Linked DNA regions of Callithrix jacchus. The main gene of each other region encodes a partner of the protein of the gene in region 2 in a complex. Links are inferred from orthologs where the notes say so. Each region holds a gene or a part of one and is shown on either strand. Other genes may lie near its edges.

Region 1 (7,911 bases), on a different chromosome or scaffold from region 2:
ATTCTCCACTTGAAACTGCAGTTGGCCAATGTGAATGAGGAAGCATAGACAGGAAATATATAGGTGTTAGGCTGAGTGAACACTCAAGACTTTTCCTGACATGGCAAATATCTTCTTGGGCCATAAGATTAAATTTTAAAAAACAAAACTAACAAGAAAAAAAAATCTATGGCAGAAAACAGGCAGAGGCCTATCACTATACTACAGGGGGAAAAAAACCCCTATTGTAGAATATAAATGATATTATCCATTTACTGTTCTCCTCCCCCACTCCACACAATTAGGCCTCATTTGAGTTCTATAGCTCACTGCTCTGCCCTTTGAAAACAGGGTTAACTATTACTTTTAACGTGAAACAGTTAAAATTTCCCACAAAGTCAATAAATGGAGAGCTGAAAATTAATGCCTATTCCATTAGTCAAAACACACTAACACTAATAACGTTCCAATTATTTTTTTCATATCCACAATTTTGCTTCCCTTGTTTGCTATACCAAATACTCTCCTGAAACCGTATAACATCTTAATCACAGTAAACTGACCAATCCAAACAGTTCTTCCACTTATCTTTTTGACACTTTACATTTTACACTTTAATTAGAGATAAACTGCAAACTTACATCAATTATAATTGGAAAGATGTTCAATTACAAACTAGCAAGGTCATAACATGAAATACTTAAAAATATAACAATGCTATTATAAATACCAGTTCAATATTAGCTTCTAATATAAAGAATAAATTATTTCAAACTGTTAAGAAAAAGAAAACAGTGACTGGCTACTTACTAAGATGAGACATTAATGTCACAGAAATTACTTTCTTTTTAAAAACTATGCTGAAACTGTTTAATTGCAATAGACACTCCAGGATGTGTCATGCTGGGATAATGCCCCTTCTTGAACCACTGAAAGCACTCCATGAGCCTCCAAACTCACCCAAGGCATGGAATCATTATCATAGCATGACACACACCTGCCGTGTCTTATTGCTTAATTATAACCCACCATAGATGGAACTGTATTGAATTTTCAGTGCAGGTCTAGAATTGAACAGAACTGCATTCATTCACTCTCATACCCACATTAGTCTTTTGGGCTATATTCCCTTAACTGTCCTGATCACTACTGAAATTAACAGATTTAGATCCAATCTGGATGTAAATAACCTTTTATTAGCAACACTATTAATAGAGTGTTTAGAACTGACAAATACTCTAATTTAACCACAATTAATTTCTGTTTTCAATATCGGGTTATCATTTCTAACAAGAAATTTACCTGTAAATCTAAAATGTGTTGTTCAAGTGCACTAAAGAGCAACGCAGGCTGGAATGCCGAAAAGCTTTGGAGCTTGTTCCAATCGATTGTAATTTTCACCACATCATCTCTGAGGTTAAGCTTCAAAAAGGCAAACCAGCAACATCACAAAAATTATAAGATTAAACTGTACATATGGAATTGTCACAAATAAAGGATTTCAAGAGTAACGTGTCTATTTTGCTCAAAGTTATCAAGTTTTACACTGAAATGCTCTACCTAGTTACCATTTTAAATGGCCACGAAAGCTACAGATTTTCATAAAAAACAAAAACAAAATGACATGTCATTCAAATTCTATTCTTGGGTCTGTGTAACGGGATCATTTTAGAGGTGAAACCATTCATGAAAGATGAAAAGATGAAGGCTCTTTTGATTCTTCAATATCTACAAACCTTTGGATGGAGTCCAAAATAGGCTTACCCTATTCAGAATCCTACTACTTCTAGCTCAGAGCCGTAAACAGAGGAAGCACAACTGTTTTGTGAAAGTTTTAACATGCATTTTTCTCTTTAAGTACGTACACAAATACATACCAGATATATATCACTATTCTGATGTTCTCCAAATCACATTGTTATTGTTTTCACCTTTAACCAAATTTTAAACTAATTTAAAAGTCAAGATTACTCATACATACTAAAAGCAGGGATAAATGGCAACATGTTTATTTCAAATAAAAAACTATTAGTTAGCTATGGAAGTCTGAAGCTGAAAAACAAAGACTTCTCCACAATAGTGAAATAAGTTGTCAGACTGGATGAAATGGCCAGATCTTTTGCTAAATGGTAAGATGTGAGGGCTCATTATATGGAAATTTGTATCAGTTGGTGATCTAACAGAATAAAATCATACCCAGAAAATTACAAAGAACCTGAATATAAGATTATTATCAAAATGAATGAAAATTTTACAGTGATAGCACCCATCTGCAGTCTTTTGAGTGAATAAAAGTGAACTATCATAAACTTTCCTAGGGACATATGTTTACAGGATAGCATAAGAATATATTCCATAAAAGAAACAAGTTACATAATTAATTCAAAATTCATCATCTTTTCTACAAAATAAAGTTGTTACGTTAGTTCAAATACAGATTTTAGGAGTTATAAAGATGAATCACTGTACAAAGATCAAAAAGATGTAAGGTTACCAATAAAAAGATAATATATTGAATAAACACTATGTGACAGAAATTTACTGCCCTTTTAAGATAAGAACAGAAGAATTTAAAAGTCCATATTAAACAAGTGTAAAGATATATGAAATTTCATGTAGGCTGCACTGGCAAAGATTAGAACATATTAAGACTTTAAAGTTAATGCATTAATTTATATTACTTTAATGCCTATAAAGATTTTGCTACACAACAACCCATATTATGTATGGAAGTAACCCATTAATATACTTTTGTAGTCTTCAAAGAGATCTATACTCGATTATAGAAAACTTATGAATACAGCTTGGGGATAAAGCAGGCAAATCCTCAACCAAAGCAAAGTATCACATTTTTCTAGAGAAAATAACGTATAGAAAAATAAGTCTTAATGTTTGGTTCATATTCTCATTTCAATTCAGCAGAATTATATAAACCTTCAAGTGCAATTAAGAATAATTGGTCTTTTAAGAAAACCACATAATGTCACAAATTAATTATAAAACTATCCTAATTCATCTAACTATTCATTCAAGACATTCATTATTAGTCACATGAATCCTATGCATTTTGCCCTACAGAACTTGGAAGAGTAAACCATTCACTTGAAAATCTCTATTAGTCTGCTATTAATATAGACTATTTAAATATGTAGTTTCATTAACTTTACTAAATTAATACAAAAATCCAAGCTAAAAATAAGTAATTGTTCAGCTTGGTAAGATGGGCCATCCAGAGGCAAGCAAAAAGGTTAAAATTAGTAAATTTTGTGATCTGAAGTAAAAAATTATTTTTAACATTCAGTTTTGTGTTTCCTACTGAGGAGATCTAATAATACAATGATACTTAGGGATGACACAGGATAAGTTAGGTATGTTACAACATACATTTTAAAAATCCTTTAAACTGGTCGCAAAAGAAAATACTGATTTCTCGGGGGGGCAATTTTATAAGTATTGAACTCTGGCTTTCACTCTTAAAAAACATTTCTCAAAATACAGAGTATTTTGAAAGTGGTTTACATTTAATTGATGAAACAATCATATTTTTGACACTTGTGTAGGAGGTCCCTTCACTGTGTCACAGTAAAGTCACCAAATATTTACTGTCAACATTTTTGACAAGTGACATAAGTAAACTGTAATCATTTCTTTAATTGTACTTTACCGTACTTGAATCATTAAAATTTTCTAATGAGTTTGAAAAATTCAGTATGCAAAATATTTCAAAAGAAAAGTTTAAATCATTGCTCAATATTTTTTTTAAATATTCCATCTTCTGTTAATAGGTGAGCATAAACTTTTTTTATCTTGACATTAGAAAATAAACAAGTTCCGACGTCGCCATAAAAAGTTCTCTAACTTTTAAACCATTTAGAGGTTTTGGTTCTTAAGACTACAATGTTAATAACAAAAGACCCCAAGTGTTTAAAAAAATGTTTTTGGTAAGTACTTGGCAAACAATTGAGTTTAAAAGTTGTATCTTTTAGCAGATTTCATTAACAACTGCGTCATTACATAAAACCGCTAAACTTACAGTAATGTTCTTTGTAAGACACAACATACTACGATTTTTAAAACTACTTTAGTAACTTTTTAAAAGACTGATTCTCCATCTACTCAAGGCTTTAAAAAAATAATTTTCACAAATCAGACAAATGTTCTATTTTTATAGGAATTTACCATTGTCTTTGACACAAATGCCTGCTGTGTCCACAGGCACTAGTACCAGCTCCAAAACAAACTTTTACGGCTAGAAAATGGTCTATGTAAGATAGAAAATATTTCCTTTTAATAAGCAGGTGAAGAAGCATAATTTTAAACTGTTTCACATTTAAAATCTGCTTTGAATTTTACACCATGAAACGAAACAGTGACTTGATCACAGAGAATAAGAAGTCCATTTAAATTTAAAACCAATTTTACCACATTTCTGCAAAAGCGATTTATCAGCCAGTTAAACTACGCCCGTTTAATAATAGTTAAATAACGCCCGTTCTATTGCAAACAACATCAAAGAGGGATAACTCATCCAACTTTACGCTAGAAGTATTTTAAATGAATTCCTTTTACTTTCCTCTCCATTTAAAAGGGTAATAGATGCACAAAACAGCCCGAAGGAAAGAAGAAATAAACAAAACCAAGTGACTCATAAGAACAAATTACTCCCTCTAGCCCCTGAAAAAAGCTAATAAGCGCGCTTTTCTATAAATCTCAGGCCTACTGACCAACCAATTCCCGTAATTGAGTAAGTTGGAAGAAAAAGGAGCCTGAGCGCGAGGCGCCTCATAAATCCGCAGTTAAGCTTTTCCACATTCATTCTCTCCAAGTCTGCTCCTCTCGGGGCCGGGTTTTCACTTAAACCATCCTCACCCACTGCTGGGGAGGACAGCTGCAAGGTAAACCACTTGGCAACCGGTACCGCCATCCTCCTCACTCCGACTGAGACGGCTCGGCCCGGGCTCCTCCCCGACCTCGGCTTCAGGGGCCGCACCTCAGACCTTGGCAGGCCTCGCTGCCTCTGGCCTCCGCTAGAGGAAAAGAATGAGGGGGAGAGGCCGGATGGTTTCCATACCCTCAATCCCTGAGGCCACTTCTCACCTGTCCAACCAGGGTGTGCAGGGAGCGAAAGATTTCGCAGAGCACCTCTCGGGAGAGGCTGGGGCTGCATCTTCGCTCCACATTCCTGTCACCGCTACTCGGGCGAGTAAGCTCCGTGGCAGCAGCCATGACACCTTCTCAGGCCGCCAAGGATTGCTCACAGCCCCGCCCCCTCCCTTTTCCGCTTTAGTCGCTCGGTGATGACGTACGACACGGCGTCTCGTTTATATCCGGGCTTTGAGGCTCCACCCTCTGTATGTGACTGACAAGCACGTACACCAATCAGTTGCAGCTGTGGCATTGCCCCGAAGCTCTGAAGTGAATTGCAGACCAAAGCTAGGCTAGAATGCTGTCTTTGGGGTGGTCATTAGAGTCGTGGTCTCTTAAGGGTTAGCATCATGAAGCTTACCTTGACTCCTGGATGTTCCTTGTGAATGTTGGTAGTAGGGGACTATGTGAAACACTGTCAGTATCATTCCAACAGGAATTTAACCTGGATAAATAATATGCAACCACAATCTTTGAAATTAGAAGGACATAAAACCGAATTGAAACTTTACAAAGTATTATATAACTTTATTATAAAGATACTTGTGGGGTTTTGCAATCTTTTCTTTTTTTTTTTTTTAATATTTTATTGCATTTTAGGTTTTGGGGTACATGTGCAGAACGTGAAAGACAGTTGCATAGGTACACACATGGCAGTGTGTGTTGCTTCCTTTCTCCCCTTCACCCACATTTGGCATTTCTCTCCAGGCTATCCCTCCCCAGCTTCCACCCCCACCCCCGTGCTGGGCCTACACTTTTCCCCCCAATAGACCCCAGTGTTTAGTACTCCCCTCCCTGTGTCCATGTGTTCTCATTTTTCATCACCCGTCTATGAGTGAGAATATGCGGTATTTCATTTTCTGTTCTTGTGTCAGTTTGCTGAGAATGATGTTCTCCAGATTCATCCATGTCCCTACAAACGACACAAACTCATCATTTCTGATTGCTGCATAATATTCCATAGTGTATATGTGCCACATTTTTCCAATCCAGTCTATTATCAATGGGCATTTGGGTTGATTCCAGGTCTTTGCTATTGTAAACAGTGCTGCAATGAACATTCGTGTGCATGTGTCCTTATAGTAGAACGATTTATAGTCCTTTGGATATATACCCAGTAATGGGATTGCTGGGTCAATTGGAATTTTTATTTCTAAAGCCTTGAGGAATCACCACACTGTCTTCCACAATGGTTGAACTAATTTACACTCCCACCAAAGGTGTAAAAGTGTTCCTGTTTCTCCACATCCTCTCCAGCATCTGTTGTCTCCAAATGTTTTAATGATCGCCATTCTAACTGGCGTGAGATGGTATCTCAATGTGGTTTTGATTTGCATCTCTCTGATGACCAGTGACCATGAGCATTTTTTCATATGATTGTTGGCTTCATATATGTCTTCTTTTGTAAAGTGTCTGTTCATATCCTTTGCCCATTTTTGAATGGGCTTGTTTGTTTTTTTCCCGTAAATCTGTTTGAGTTCTTTGTAAATTCTGGATATCAGCCCTTTGTCAGATGGGTAGACTGCAAAAATTTTTTCCCATTCTCTTGGTTGCCAATTCACTCTAGTGACTGTTTCTTTTGCTGTGGAGAAGCTGTGGAGTTTGATTAGGTCCCATTTGTCTATTTTGGCTTTTGTTGCCAATGCTTTTGGTGTTTTGTTCATGAAGTCCTTGCCTACTCCTATGTCCTGGATGGTTTTGCCTAGATTTCCTTCTAGGGTTTTTATGGTGCCAGGTCTTATGTTTAAGTCTTTAATCCATCTGGAGTTAATTTTGGTGTAAGGTGTCAGGAAGGGGTCCAGTTTCTGCTTTCTGCACATGGCTAGCCAGTTCTCCCAACACCACTTATTAAATAGGGAATCCTTTCCCCAATGCTTGTTTTTTGTCAGGTTTATCAAAGATTGTATGGTTGTAGATATGTTGTGTTGCCTCCGATACCTCTGTTTTGTTCCATTGCTCTATATCTCTGTTTTGGTACCAGTACCATGCTGTTTTGATTACTGTAGCCTTGTAGTATAGTTTGAAATCCGGTAGTGTGATGCCCCCCGCTGTGTTCTTTTTGCTTAGAATTGACTTGGCTATGCGGGCTCTCTTTTGGTTCCATATGAAGTTCATGGTGGTTTTTTCCAGTTCTGTGAAGAAAGTCAATGGTAGCTTGATGAGGATAGCGTTGATTCTGTAAATTACTTTGGGCAGTATAGCCATTTTCACGATATTAATTCTTCCTAACCATGAACATGAAATGTTTCTCCATTTGTTTGTGTCCTCTCTGATTTCGTTGAGCAGTGGTTTGTAGTTTTCCTTGAAGAGGTCCCTTACGTTCCTTGTGAGTTGTATTCCTAGGTATTTTATTCTTTTTGTAGCAATTGTGAATGGCAGTTCGTTCTTGATTTGGCTCTCTTTAAGTCTGTTATTGGTGTAGAGGAATGCTTGTGATTTTTGCACATTGATTTTATATCCTGAGACTTTGCTGAAGTTGCTTATTAGTTTCAGGAGTTTTTGGGCTGAGGCGATGGGGTCTTCTAGGCATACTATCATGTCGTCTGCGAAGAGTGACAATTTGGCTTCCACTTTTCCTATTTGAATACCCTTTATTTCTTTTTCTTGCCTGATTGCTCTGGCTAGAACTTCCAGTACTATATTGAGTAGGAGTGGTGAGAGAGGGCATCCTTGTCTAGTGCCGGATTTCAAAGGGAATGCTTCCAGTTTTTGCCCATTCAGTATGATATTGGCTGTTGGTTTGTCGTAAATAGCTTTTATTACTTTGAGATATGTTCCATCGATACC
Region 2 (7,237 bases):
CTCCAGTGCTTGTGCTTACTCCATGAATACACAGTCGTGGAAGCATGATGTTGTTTGTGTTTTGAAGGTTCACATAAAAGATATTTCTACTTACATTTCTCTGCACCTCCCTTTTCACTCTTTCATTCTTCCAGTCTGTTTATGCTCATATATATGGTTCTAGTTCATTCATTTTTAGTATGACTTTTCATTGTCCGTTTCATGGCACAGTTTGTCCAGTCCTCTATCTGTAGACATTAAGAATGTCGTTACATGCTGGAGACATTAAGGTTGCTAACAGTTTTTTTAAAAAACAATGTTATGTTGGACATTCTTGTATATGTTCTCTTGAACGCATGCCTATTTCCCTAGGATATGTTCCTAAAAATAGAATTCCTACTATATGGGGGTATGTGAATTTTCAGTTTTAGCAGCTAGGCCAGAGCCTCCCTGGAATGGCTGTACAAATTTATCTTCCTACCAGCAGTGAACAAAAGTACCTATTTCCCCCACAGCCTCAGGTAACTTCTTGATGTTATCAGACTTTAAACTCTTTTCTCCCTAATCTGATGGGTTCCTATTTTGTCTTTTTCTCCTTAAGAAGGCAGATTATTTGCATTTCTTCTAACCCTGTGAAAGTTTTATGGAGTTTCTGGTGAGAAGTGCTTTTTATGAAATAAAGAGCTGCAGAGCGGAAAACGCTGCCCCAATTTGCCATTCGCTCAGCATTTTTTTTGTTTTTTCTTTTTGAGACAGTGTTTTGCTCTTCTTACCCAGGCTTGAGTGCAATGGCGCGATCTTGGCTCACCGCAACCTTTGCCTCCTGGGTTCAGGCAATTCTCCTGCCTCAGCCTCCTGAGTAGCTGGGATTACAGGCATGCGTCATTATGCCCAGCTAATTATTTGTATTTATAGTAGAGACGAGGTTTCACCTTGTCGACCAGGATGGTCTCAATCTCTTGACATCGTGATCCACCTGCCTCGACCTCCCAAAGTGCTGGGATTACAGGCGTGAGCCACCGCGCCCGGCCTCGCTCAGCATTTTATTTAACATCCTACTGTTGACAGCACTTTGGGAGGCCAAGGCAGGCGGATCACGAGGTCAGCAGTTCGAGACCAGCCTGGCCAATATAGTGAAACCTTATCTCTACTAAAAATACAAAAAATTAGCCGGGCATGCTGACATGCGTCTGTAGTCCTAGCTACTTGGGAGGCTGAGGCAGGAGAACTGCTTGAACCCGAGAGAGAGGTTGTGGTGAGCCGAGATTGCACCACTGCACCTCAGCCTGGGCAACACGGTGAGACCCTGTCTAAAAAACAACAACAACAAAAAACACTCCTGAGTATTTTCTCTAAAGAGTTTACTTTCAGAACTAGATACTTCTAATTTTCATTTTCATTATTTGGATATTGAGGTCTTTTTTAAATAAAAAAAATCAGTTAAATATTCCTGCCTTTTTTTTTTTTTTTCCCTTGAGACAGGGTCTTGTTCTGTCTCCCAGGCTGGAGTGCAGTGGCACGGTCCTGGCTCACTGTAACCTCCGCCTCCCAGATTCAAGTGATTCTCCCACCTCAGCCTCCAGAGTAGCTGGGACGATAGGTCTGTGCCACCGCACCCAGCTAATTTTTGTATTTTTAGTAGAGACGGGATTTTACTATGTTGGTCAGGCTGGTCTCGAACTGCTGACCTCAAGTGATCTGCCTGCCTCAGCCTCCCAAAGTGCTGGGATTACAGACATGAGCCACTGTGCCCGGTCTCAAGTGTGTGTGAAAGAATTGGAAGTAGATACATTGGAAATATTAGGAGATTATTTCTGAATGAGTAGAACTTTTTTCTTTATACTTCTGAGTTTCCCAAATTTTCTATTAAAGTAAGTCATAAAAAGTAGCTGAGGTAAGACAACAGTTGTTAAGCTTCTGTTATTATAATACCCGAGTGTAAGAAATACATTTGCCGTTCACACCCGTCTAGTTAGCTTTCCTAGATGACCGGATTAGGCTGCATGTATTATGTGCAGGCCTTGGCTTTGCTCTTTGCCAAAACAGTGACTGCTGTTCTAAGAACTCTCAAGGCTCCGTTGGACTGTGCTTTGTTTTGGACAGGTTGTTGGAGTACCGGTTGGGTCTGCTTTACCCTCAGCAGTGAAGCAGGCTGTGGCGATCAGCGGTGGCCAGATCCTGGTAGCCAAGGCCAGCTCCTCTGTCTCCAAAGCAGTTGGTCCAAAGCAGGTTGTGACCCAAGGAGTCGCAAAAGCAATTGTGAGTGGAGGTGGAGGAACAATTGTTGCTCAGCCCGTGCAGACCTTAACCAAGGCTCAGGTCACTGCCGCTGGTCCTCAGAAGAGTGGATCCCAGGGTTCAGGTAAAATGGCTCCTCATTGGGAGCTCTTTCAGCAGTAGCTCTGTCCGATGTCCTTTGCTAGTGATTTTATTTGCTATTTGATGTTCCCTAGGAAAGCCTAGTTAGGTCGATGCTATAAGATGTGTATTAAAATGTTTGTTCTTTTTCATGGGACATTTTACATGAAGGTCTGTATTTAGCTTTAAGTTTCTACACATACACACACACACACTCCATTTCTCAGTACTGTGGGGGACTGGTTCCAGGACCCCCTGCTGCTGATAGCAAAGTCCACAGATGCTTGAGTTCCCTCTGTAAAATGCTGTAGTGTACTTCTCATCATCTCTAGGTTATTTTAATATCTAATAACAATGTAAATGCTATGTAAATAGTTATTACATTGTATTGTTTAAGGAATAATGATAAGGAAAAAAATCTGTACCTGTTCAGTACAGATGTACTCATCCTTTTGTCTCCCAAATATATGAATATTTTTGATTTGAGGTAGGTTACATCCATGGATGTGAAATCCACAAATACAGAGGGCTAACTGTACTTGCCAGTTAGGAGCACAAATTTTGCCTAACTTTGACTTAAATGGGGGAAAATATGTATTCCCCCATAAGTAGGGTGATTATTTCATTAATCAAGCCACAGTACTTTTGAGAGTAAAAAGAGTCACTGTTAATATATTACAATGGGACAGGTGTAACCTAGAACAGCCCTAGGCAGAAGCAGGACATATGATCACCCTATTTATATTCAGATATAAAGAGCCTCCAGCAGGCTCTTTCGGCTGTAAATTATTTTCTAATTAGCAAGATATTTAAGAATATCAGCCTTTAAAGCATTGTGCATCTGGAAAACAAACGAGTTTACTGTTTGTTAGTGGTCTAAAATAAGATTCTATTGCCTCATATTTTAATTTTAGAGAGAGTGTTGCCCTTAGTTTCAATATATCTTACCATTTTTTCTCCTTTACCATTTTAGTAATGGCAACGTTGCAGCTGCCAGCCACTAATTTGGCCAACTTGGCAAATTTACCTCCTGGCACTAAACTCTACCTAACTACAAACAGCAAGAACCCTTCAGGAAAAGGAAAGCTGCTGCTGATCCCTCAAGGAGCCATCCTGCGGGCTACGAACCATGCTAGTTAGTGAAACCATTGGGTTGAATCATTTGACTCTTGGTTCTCTGTATGTTCATCCTGTCTACCTGAGGGCAGTTCTTTCTTTTTCAGGAAGCATTTCTGTAACTCTTTTGGATGGTATAATGGTAGCATTTGCCCATATGGATTTAACAGAAGTGATAATTTAACCAGAAGTGGGTTTGCTTCTCGGAGTTTGGGGTTAGGGATGAATCACACTGGAGAGAGATGGCTCATGAGGCTGTTGAGAGAAAGCTGTCTACGCGCACTGTGAATGAAATGGTGTCTGAAAAGTCAATCTGGTGAGAGCTGAGGAAAGATCCATCTACTTACAGAAGCTGGAAGTCTATTTTGGGGGATAAGTTGGCAGAGGATTGGAATCACATGTGTCCATTTGGCTTCACTTAGATCAGGGGTCCCCAACCCCAGGGCTGCACAGCAGGAGGTGAGCTGTGGGTAAGGGAGCATCACTGCCTGAGCTCGGCCTCCCATCAGATCATGGCAGCATTAGATTCTCATAGAGGCGTGAACCCTGTTGTGAGCTGCACGCTCCTTGCTCTTTATGAGAATCTAATGCCTGACGATCTGAGGTGGAACCGTTTCATCCTAAAACCACCCCCCACCTCCTGCCCCAGTTCATGGAAAAATTGTCTTCCATGAAACTGGTCCCTGGTGCCACAAAGCTTGGGGACAGCTGGTTTGGATGTATTCCTTACTTCTAGGTTTGGAGACGGGAAGAGAAACATAGATTCTACCAAGGTGTGTCTGTCTTAAAGCCCCGTGGAAATGAGGAGGCAGTTCATCTACCGTTACAGAAAATTTTGCTTTGACAGAGAGAGAAAAACAATTTGGGCAGTCTTGAAAAGGATAAGATATAAGGAAATTATTTCCTTCTGAATTAGAAGTAGAAGAGTACAGCAGTCAGAGTCATTAGAAGTTAACCACTCTTGCCAAAATGCAGTGTGTCAGCTAATCGTCCTTGCGTTCATTGACTGTGATGGGTTGTTTCCATGCTCACTTTGATTATTTTTTCCTCATACCTACGCAGTGATATGTCCAAAAGTTAAACATATAAGAAAAGGACAATGTAAATATTTCAAAAGTCATCCAGTGAGCTACTTAGATTCTTGTGATATCCTTGGGATGAAAATAAACCATCAGGAAGGAAGCTTTTCCAATAATCACTGGAATGAAGGTGGAGAAGGAAATTGTTAGTATTTGTTGAGTGAATATTCATAGTCCAGGTAGTTTATATGCGTTATCTCACCAAAAGAGAAGTAAAAAGAATTGAAGGCTTTGAGGTGGAATTTGAAAGGCAAAGAAGAATGGGGTCCTGGAGTCATTGTAAATGAAGGAAACTCTTCATGTTTCCCAGGATGGGAGACTGCATCAAGCACTGTAAAGTTACGCTAAATTCCAGCCAGTCACTGACATCGAATGAGGTGCCCAAAAGTTGGGAAGCACCCACCTGAACACATTTAAGAGTTGATTAAAATACGTAGCTAGAAAATGTCAGTAGCAAGCCTTCTCTTGATCTCCCATGACCACGTCAAAATACCTTCATTGTACTCAGAGCCGAAATACAGTCAGCTGCCATTCCATTGAAAGGAAACAGATTTTGATCTAAAATCTAAGAAGTTCTCCTCACTCTTTTCGCAGGATAGGTAGATTACAGAAAAGAAGGAGGAAAATGAGAAAGGAGAAGGAATGACACTAAAAGGGAAACATCTGTCTGGGCTCATTTGTTTTTTCTGTTAAAACTTTACTGGATACTTTTTATGATGTTGCCGTCATTCATTGTATTTTTAGATCTCCAGTCTGGCTCAACTGCCAGTGGGGGGAGTGGTACCGGAGGAGGAGGAGGAAGCGGAGGCGGTGGCAGTGGTGGAGGCAGCAGTGGAGGAGGAGGAGCAGGAGGAGGAGGAGGAGCAGCAGGAGGAGGAACAGCAGGAGGAGGAACTCAGAGCACCACCGGCCCTGGAGGAATAGCTCAGCACCTGACTTACACATCTTACATCCTCAAGCAAACTCCCCAGGTCTGGTTATCTGTAACTGATATTTTAAATCATTTAGCTCTTTGATAATGACACTTAATTATAATTGATTTACCTTTACAGCTCTGGGATCAGGGTTCAATACTAACAATTTAGCCGTGTTATCTATATTTATGTCTTGGCCAGGTGCGGTAGCTCGTTCCTGTAATCCTAGCACTTTGAGAGGCTGAGGTGGGTGGATCGATTGAGCCCAGGAGTTTGAGACCAGCCTGGGCAACATGGCGAAACCCCATCTCTACTAAAAATACCAGAATTAGCTGGGGTGTAGTGGTGTGGGTCTGTAGTTTCAGCTACTCAGAAGGCTGACATGGGAGGATTGCTTGAACCCAGGAAGTGGACGCTGCAGTGAGCCGAGATTGCGCCACTGCACTTCAGCCTAGGTGACAGAATAAGAATCTAAAAAAAAATTAAAAATCTATTTCTTTTTTTGCTTGCTTTGAGAGAAGAGGAAATAGAGGTTGAGAAAGATTTTAGTAACGTATCCAGCATCTTCCTGCTAAGCTAATGGTAGAATTTGGGTTTAAGCCAGGTGTGGTGGCTCACTCCTGCATTCCCAGCACTTTGGGAGGCCAACGTGGGCGGATCACCTGAGGTTAGGAGTTCAAGACCAGCCTGGCCAACATGGTGAAATCCTGTCGACTAAAAATACACAAATCAGCTGGGCATGGTGCTGTGCACCTGTAATCCGAGCTACTCGGGAGGCTGAGGCAGAACAATCACTTGAACCTGGGAGGTGGAGGTTGCAGTGAGCTGAGATCAATCCATGGCACTCTAGCCTGGGCAACAGAGTGAGACACTGTCTCAAAAAAAAAGAAAGAATTTGGGTTTAAACCCTGATCTTTCTGCCTTAAAGAAAGATTTCTACTATGCTAATTGCCTCCCATATCCATGAGGTAATAAACAGTATTCATTTACAGTTGAAAAGTTGCTCATAGAAGGGAGTGATAAGGAGGCAGCATCAAGTTGTAATATTTAGAGTTAGGTTAGATTTGATGAGGAACGAGTTTCCTCCTTCTCTCCTCTTGTCGCTGAAGTCTTGGCTCTTTTCTAAGGAAAGTAATAGAATTTTGGTTCCGGATGTTCTTATTGAGAAAGGTAGATAGTTATCAGTCTGGATGATTAAATCCAGCTTTGAGGACTAAATCGCAAAACTAGAGTTTCCAGCAGGCTGCTCTGTAACTGTGGTGCAGAGTTTGAGAAGTGGGGAGAACTATTAGAAGAGACACTTAGAGCACAACTATTCTTTTGGATTATTTTGCCTACATTGCAGAATTAAAGGGGAGAGCGTTGTAGCTTGTAGCATGGAATGTTACGTGTGATTTAAGGGATCAGAACAGTGCATTTGAATTTAAGAAATTACTGCTTAGTTCTTTATATTTTCTTTCTAACTTAGGGCACATTTTTAGTTGGCCAGCCATCACCCCAGACTTCTGGAAAACAACTCACCACTGGGTCAGTGGTCCAAGGCACACTAGGAGTTAGCACATCTTCTGCACAAGGACAACAGACGCTGAAAGTCATCTCTGGACAGAAAACCACGTTGTTTACACAGGTAAATACACCCATGCACACACCCCAAATACCTGGTGATTGTGACATTTATTTATGTATTTACATGTAGTTTCTCTCTTTTCACAAGGAAATTAAGGTTGCATAAGGAAATGAACAATAAGGCTGGGCATGGTGGCTCATGCCTGTAATCCCAGCACTTTGGGA

The links.
Region 1: YEATS2 (region 2) and MBIP share a complex: the UniProt entries of both Homo sapiens proteins name them as parts of the ADA2A-containing complex. The link is inferred for Callithrix jacchus from reciprocal best matches to the Homo sapiens genes YEATS2 and MBIP.

Annotation. Positions count from the first base shown.
Region 1 is NC_133509.1:70,907,957-70,915,867, forward strand, and holds the start of MBIP (MAP3K12-binding inhibitory protein 1), read right to left. Parts: upstream 5,225-7,911; 5' UTR 5,206-5,224; coding exon 5,077-5,205; intron 1,402-5,076; coding exon 1,282-1,401; intron 1-1,281. UniProt on the Homo sapiens protein: Inhibits the MAP3K12 activity to induce the activation of the JNK/SAPK pathway. Component of the ATAC complex, a complex with histone acetyltransferase activity on histones H3 and H4.
Region 2 is NC_133516.1:12,787,374-12,794,610, forward strand, and holds part of YEATS2 (YEATS domain-containing protein 2), read left to right. Parts: intron 1-2,082; coding exon 2,083-2,341; intron 2,342-3,310; coding exon 3,311-3,472; intron 3,473-5,276; coding exon 5,277-5,503; intron 5,504-6,914; coding exon 6,915-7,073; intron 7,074-7,237. UniProt on the Homo sapiens protein: Chromatin reader component of the ATAC complex, a complex with histone acetyltransferase activity on histones H3 and H4. YEATS2 specifically recognizes and binds histone H3 crotonylated at 'Lys-27' (H3K27cr).